Linked DNA regions of Coturnix japonica. The protein of the gene in region 1 interacts with the protein of each later gene in a biochemical or structural test. Links are inferred from orthologs where the notes say so. Each region holds a gene or a part of one and is shown in the gene's direction. Other genes may lie near its edges.

What was found.
Region 2: the proteins of PARD3 (region 1) and JAM3 form a complex in vitro, tested with the Homo sapiens proteins (2 studies listed by BioGRID and IntAct, with this or other methods). The link is inferred for Coturnix japonica from reciprocal best matches to the Homo sapiens genes PARD3 and JAM3.

The regions. Positions count from the first base shown.
Region 1 is NC_029517.1:12,121,579-12,125,090, forward strand, and holds part of PARD3 (partitioning defective 3 homolog), read left to right. Parts: intron 1-3,321; coding exon 3,322-3,512. UniProt on the Homo sapiens protein: Adapter protein involved in asymmetrical cell division and cell polarization processes. Seems to play a central role in the formation of epithelial tight junctions. Targets the phosphatase PTEN to cell junctions.
Region 2 is NC_029539.1:2,091,578-2,095,546, forward strand, and holds the start of JAM3 (junctional adhesion molecule C), read left to right. Parts: upstream 1-1,157; 5' UTR 1,158-1,238; coding exon 1,239-1,284; intron 1,285-3,969. UniProt on the Homo sapiens protein: Junctional adhesion protein that mediates heterotypic cell-cell interactions with its cognate receptor JAM2 to regulate different cellular processes. Plays a role in homing and mobilization of hematopoietic stem and progenitor cells within the bone marrow.

The DNA.
Region 1 (3,512 bases):
AACATAGGTAGTATGTGTGGCAGAGGGGCCGGCTCTTCTAAATTAACTTACTGTCTTTGCAAAGAAAAAAGTTATTAAATGGCTAGGAAAATCAGATCGGTGTGTCCAGTTCTGGGACAATCTTTTTAGAAAGTATGTGAGAGGAAGTGTATGAATTTTAATGGTTGTAAATAAGTCTCATTTGTGGAGAGGTGCGAGTGTTGAACTTTTACAAGTCATTTTGACTGATTTCTCTCTCTCTCTCTTTTTTTTTTCTCCTAAATACCTGAAATAGCCGACTGGAAGCAGAGTGTTTATCTTTAGTGATGTGAATGAGGACAAGGCATTTGAATTGGGAGAGATCAGCAAAGCTTTCTAATCTTTTGCTGAATCTTAATTGCTAGAATCCACAGCTGTATTAAATATCACAATAAGGGGCCTAGAAACGTAGTGGCAAAATAGCTTCACATTAAGTAGCTTTGATTCCTCATGTGCATCTTTTACATATTATGGCCCAATTAGGAGAATAGCTTCATAATACCTGTTTGTGTACTTCTCTTTAGTACAGTGCAGTCCATGAAATGACACTGGTTTTTAGCTTTAGTTGATGCTTAAAGTATACTCCAATTTATTTTTTTGTCTTCCATATCCTGAATGGGGAAGGGAGCGGGAAGGTGGGGGAGAAAGTAGCAGTACCAAAACAAGTAAATTCTGCATTTTGCAGCAACCTAATGTCATTATTGCAACTTAACAAAAATAAGAAGTTTCATTTGCAGCCTCGGCTTGAATTTTAATTGGGCAGCATTTGCATTTGTTCTAAACGCTAGTAATTAGGAGTATGTTAATTGCAGAGTGAATGCTCTGCATAAAAGTGAAACAAGTTTCTTCATGTTCTGCCTTTTTAAGAAAATGGAAATCCATTTACTCCAGTGGAAACATGAGTGTTTATTCCAAGAGAACAGAAATCCTGGTTCACAAGGCTCATTCGAAGCCATGGAGTTAACTGTGAGCAAAATGTATATGATAGACAAATATTTATTGCAGCACAACTGTGGAAAGGAGCCAATACAATCTTCATAGAATATGTAAAACAATAAAAGGAAGCATTGTTATGACAAGTAGTTCGGCAATCAGCACAGCACAATACACTTAATGCATATTTAGGCTTAAAATAGTGTATTGTCATATGAATATGAACAATCATAGAACAGTTTTGTTTATCTCTGGAATTCTAGCAATGCAGTACCAAGTAAATAGTCAACTTCAGAAGTTGTCAGATTTATGCGTGGGGTTTTTTTTGTTTGTTTTTTGTTCTTTTTTTTTAAAACTAATTATGTTTGTTTGCAAGTACAATCATTTAAATGCCTGGTTGGTTTAAATGGAACAGATTGTAGCTATAAATTAACATGCAAAAAATTTGCATCACTTTTCCAAAGTAGTTTTCCACTACTGTTTTAATAACAATGAAATATCATCCCCAAATTTGTGGTAGAAACACTTTCACCAAATAAAGTCCAAGTACAGCTAATACAGAGATGGGTATGGGAAATGCCTGTTAGTTTTCTGAAATAAAATTATCCTAATTTTAAAGCTGTGCCTACAGCTGAGAAGTTGTGTCACCTGCTTATCTCATAGCAGTCCTGAAGACAAGCCAATATGAATTGCTGGGAAGTGTCTTTTTTTCTTTTGGTTGATTTGTACTTCAGAGTAATAGTTGATATTCCAAAGTGGTTATTAATGTTGATATTTATCTGACATGATATGTTTCTCTTGAAAAATGTTTATGTGATCTTGCAGGGTTGGATAATATTTATAGAAGTGCTGGGAGATTCGTTGAATAAGTCAGTTGGGCAGGTCTGTGTAATGTAATATTAAAGAATAAACAATATTTTGCAGGCAAGTATCAGAGAGAGAATGTAGAATATCTAGTGGCTTTCAGCTGGTGATTTGTAGACTTCTCAGCTTCAGTGAATTACTGGTATGGCAATCATGAAAGATGAGTAAGAAGAGCAAATTTATATTCTACACTATTTTGTTTATGAAATTTTCTAAAGAACTGCACACTTCCATTAGCTGTAGAAAAGTCCCTGAGGTCTACCAATAACAGTACTAGTAGTAATAGTAATAATAATAATAATAAGCATGTGCTAAAGTTAAAAATAATTCTTCCTTCCAGCTCTGTCATGGCCTTTTCCAAATCTTTTTGTGTATATGTGTATATTATATATATATATATGTTTATATAGTTGTTTGGAACCTGTAAGAGCTACAGGAATCAGTACAGAGTATGTGCCTGTGATCCTAATTGCTGCCTTGTTCTGTCTGTTGGAAAACTGGGAAGTGATGCAGCCCTGCTTATAATGTGATGAAATAAAATGTTAGAGCTCCTGAGAGATCACAGCTTCACCAGCCATGCAGTATAGTTGTTGGATATGGCTTTAAGTTATGTCAAAATGGCTTCACAATTCTAACTCTCATGTTTAACATATTTTCTTTCTTGCTTGCTTAACTGCTCGGGGAATTTTCCGTTCCTGATTGCATTATTTCTTTTGATCATTTTATTTCAGAGATTCTGAAACATGTGTGCCCTGTTAAATTTAACCTCGGGTATACTTTAGGATTCTCAGTCTTGGTCTTGGATTACAAACGGAGAAGAAACACATTACCTGCTCTTAAAATGTTTCCCATGTTCCACTGGGTGGAATCTCCCCACCTGAGCCTCCCAGGCTGCTCCAATCTCAACCTGTATTACTGCTCTGGAAGAATAAAACCTATGATGCGTGATGTGTTTTAAACTATGCCAGGAAATGAAGTAGTGCCGCAGAATCATTATGGTATTTGCAGCATAAGAAAAAGTCTATTAAGGCTTCTATTGAGGGTCAACAGTCCATAATGACTTTCATATTTTTATGGGAATATTGCTAAGAATTTATTGACAGGGCATGCTACACAGCTGTTGTTTCTTCCTGCAGACATTTCTGAAGCTCTCCTCAACTGTTTTAGATGCTGAAACAAAAGGATCCAATTACCATCACTTAATGGGGTTCAATTAACATCTTCCTCATAGTCTGTGTGTTATTCAGAGTGCACACCAAACAAGAATCAAGTTATACAGAATGTCCTGCAAAGATGAATTTCTTATCTTTAGGAGTTTATGTACACCTGTCCATTCCAAGAAAAATCCTAATTAGTGAATACTGATTTTTAAAAAGAATGGGAATATTTTGCTGTTGTGCATATATCCTGCTTGAAAATAATTTATACAATAAACAAAAAAAAAAAAACCAACCTGCTTTTGTTGTTTGTTCTTATCCCATGTTGTTTCTTATTGTGTGCTTTCAGTGGAGGAAGACACAGAGGAAAGCTCAAGATCTGGTAGAGAGTCTGTTTCCACAGCAAGTGACCAGCCATCCCACTCACTGGAGAGACAAATGAATGGAAGCCAAGACAAAGGTGAAAGAAAAAAGGCTGGAAAGGAAAAGAAGAAAGATCGAGATAAAGAGAAGGATAAAATTAAGGCAAAGAAAGGAATG
Region 2 (3,969 bases), on another chromosome or scaffold:
GCACAGTATATCGTATAATATTGATCGTGACTCCTTTTCACATCTCCAATGGCTCTGCTGTGCCCTGACACAGCCGTGGGGCAGCACACAGGGGTGGGCATAGAAGTGAGGTGATATTCCAGATCTCATCCCCCACTCTTGTCCTCTGAGTTCACATCCATTTTGCTGCTTTCCCTGCCCAGGTGGTTGCTTGGTGTCGGGAAGGAACTTGGTGGCTCAGTGATGTTTAATTGCTGTTGGATTTTATCTCTCTATCCCTTCAGTCCAAAGGAAACAGGTTAAAATGACTCTTTGCTAATGGGGACACGGCCCAAATATTGGTGCTGTTGGGCTGTAAGCCATCAAGTCTTATTGAGCGAGTCCATCCCCCGCATCATCACTGAAGTGTCCCATCTGGCCATTAGGACTGAGTGCCTTCATATTAATTTCACCAGGCTCAGATCAGCCCTTTAAGTCTCCTCATTAGCACTGAGAGTTAGATCCACCACGTTATCAAGTTAAATACGTTTTTACATCCCTTAATTTCAACCCGCTCTGCCGAGCTCGTGGTACAGAGAAGAGCTTGGCTTTCATTCCAGCTGCTTGATTTTCAACAGCATCTTAATTACATCCCCATCACAGCGCACTGACGCACGAGCCGGCACCCATCCAACCTGACTTCAAATCACAGAAGGATCTGGGGTGGAAGAGACCTTAAAGTCCATCTGGTTCTGCTCCATGCAATGGGACACCCATCAGGCTCAGAGCCACATCCCCTTATCCTTGGTCTTGCAGGGGATCAAATGGAGCAGGGACTTGCTTCTCGTTAACTAATGGAAAAGGCTCTGAGATGCTTTTGGGGACTGTACAGAGACTCGGGGTGCTCTCACTCTGCACAGCACGAGATGCAGCTCTGTCTGTTTGCGTTTCTCCCTCGCTTTAACTCGTCCAAAAGTTCGCACCGCCGCTCATTGCACATCACGAGTCAGCTTTAGCAGGGCACACCCCCCCCCAACAGCCCTCCACGCACTCAAACCTCCCCCCACCGCCCAGCACTGCCCATAACCGAACCCATCCCCACCCCGGGGGCCGCCCCATCCGCAGCCCCTCCGTGCCAGGCTCCATCCTCGCAGCTCCCCGCCCGGTTACCGCAGCAACATCAGCGGCACCCCCGCCCCCGGGCCGCCCCCCTTCATCATCCTCCCCCCGTCGGGGCAGTGCGCAGGCTCAGCGCAGGGCTCAGCTCCGCACACCCCATCATGGCGCTGCGGCGGCCGGCGCTTCTCTTGCTGCTGCCCCTGTTCGGTGAGTGCCGGGCAATGGAGATCGGCCCGGAGATGCCCGATGGGTCCTTGGGGTCTGGGGGGGATGCGCAGAGGGGGGGTTAAAGGGATGCGGTGCCGCGGAGATGGGTCGGGAACGGGGATGCGCCGCTCCGAGCTCGGGGAAAGAAGGGATGCGCTGCTCTGATCGCCATCCCGAGCAGAGACGGCCCTGATCGCCGTCCCGGCTGGGAACGCGGTGCGCTGGTGCCGGGGACAGAGGGGGATACGCTGCCCATAACCCGGAGAGGAAAGGGGATGTGCTGCTCTGATCGTGGGGAACAGGAGGGATGTGTTACTTTCATCGGGGTCCCGGCGAAGTGAGGATGCTCTGCCGCCGTCCCATCCCGGGGTGAGCGGTGATGGGAAGGATGCGCTGCCTCTACCCCAAACAGGACCCCAAAGGGCGCTGAGCTGTGGGATGGGATGAGATGGGGGGGGAAGCAGCTCAGCGAGGTGCGGGTCCAGGGCTGAGGGTGCCAGGAATGTGCAGCCTCGGCAGGCAGGCAGGGCGGACACTGGTCCCTATTCAAGCCGAGGCACAGGCTCCTATTGTTCCGGGGGCCCGCATGAATGTTTGCAGTTTTTAATTGCAAAAACATTTGCTAATTCCGCTCAGGAATGAATTCGGGCTCATTTGTTGTCTGGCTATTAATAGCGGGGGGATGAAGAGGGGGGGACAGCAGCCGGTGGGCTCCCATTGCCCCCCACCCCCCACTCCCCCCTTCCAGGCAGGCGACAGAAGGAGAAGGGATGGAGGGAGGTCAGAGTGCCAATCAGCAACTGACTTGGAAAGTTCAGCCACTGAGATCCACGGGGCTGTGCACACAAATAACTGCGTTGGGTCAGCTCGAGACTGGAGTGCATTGAAATATTTCAGCCAGTTTATCTAAGGACAAAGGAATTCTTCAGTCCCTAATGGTTTTCAGACGTTGGGGCTTTGAATTAAGTTAAGATTTGGGCTCTGTTCCCTCCAAAATTAAGGGGTGAGAAGATACAGCCGTTCCACTGCAGCACCCATTGGGATGAGGAGTGCAACTGGGGGGCTCTGTTTGCTTTGCTGTGGTTTGAGGCTGAACTGTGAGTACCCGGAGCATCACAGTCATCCAGGTCCCAACTTTGGATCTGGGTGTTCCATTTGAGTGAGGAAAAACAGCAGATTTCACTCAGCTTCTCCTGCAGTTGGGCTCAAGGGGCATTTCCTCTCCTCCCTCTGTGCTGGAGCAGTGCTTGAGCATCCTGTTGAATGCGGCCTAAAAGACAGCAGCCTGGAAATGAGCTGCAGCTACTTGGGTGCTTCTTTGGACAGGCAGGAGTTGCTGAATGCAGGCAGACCCCGCTGCTTTCACACCTGGTTGCACTATAGTCATATTAGTGAACCGGGAGGAATCCTACATTAAAGGTGCACTGGGTTGCTGCTGTGTGGTCCCATAGGGTTGTGTTTGATGCCAGCCCACTGGTTGGCAGAGAAGGAAGGCAACAAGGCCAGTGAGATGCTGCAAAACTGCTTTAGGAGCTCAATGTGCTTCTTAGACTATAGAGCAGGGATGGCCTCTGTGCTTCTCTATCCAGAATGGACCCAACTCTTGGTCATGGCCTCAAAACATTGCCACAGCACAGAAGGCAGTGAAGCATGGAGAGTGCAGTGTGTACCCCGCTCCAGGCACTAAAAGCATCTAAAGATTCTGCATATGAGGGAAATGCCATGGCCGTAATTATGCTAGCGGAAATTATCAGCATCAGTGGTGGAAAGCAGAGCTTGTAAGCAACATCTATGGTGCGTCCTGCCTCGATGCCTCTGCTGCAACCTTCCAGCATTTGGATTTGGAAGCTTTCACGTGTCAGACTGAGGGCAGAGCTGTGCAGCCCTTCCCAAAATTCACAAGTATTTCCTGATGAAAATAAAAGCACGTCCTCAATGGGGAGGCAGGTCCTTGGCACGTTGCGGTGCCAAACTCAGCGTGCTCCAATCTCCCTTTGATTTATCTCTGAGGTTTGAATTGTGCAAAGGCCATTTCTCAACCTAGCAAACAGAAGTCCTTACTTCCCTTTGTGTAAGCTATGAAGTCCATCTGTCCCAGCCACCAACAACTGTTCCCACTCAGCTGTCAGCACCAGGAATTGCTTGGTGCAAACGCTGCTGGCCCTGCTGCAGCACCGATGTTGTTCCTTGCTGATAGGAGCTATTTGCAGCCATGCTTTCCTTTCAGCAGGCAGTGAGAAAGCAGGACCATCAGCTCCGAGAGCAGTGCCAAAATCAGATGCTTAATAATGTCTTCCAAAGAATTCCTGGGGAGGGCTTGGTGTTCCTATTCAGGCACCACCACCGCAGAGCTGTTGGATCCCATCAGCTTTACAGCTGTTGACAAAGAACGTGACACCAGCGCATTCCTTTTTGCTTGGAATGCTGTCAGGAATTAGTTGGTTATTGAGGCACAAGTAGATCCAGAGAGTAAAATGTGGGGTTTTTGTAGGGAGAAGGAGCAGAGGATGGAGATGCTGCCCTGGTAGTGAACTCTGCTTCCTCACTGATGTGTTTATTTTCCTTTAAGAGTTGAATTCCGGGTCTCCCCGCCTGCTGGGTTGTTTTTCACTCATCCATCCCCACACTGAGGGTTTGCACCAGGAACACAGGTTGTGCTGCCAGACCTCACCTAAACAATCAAAT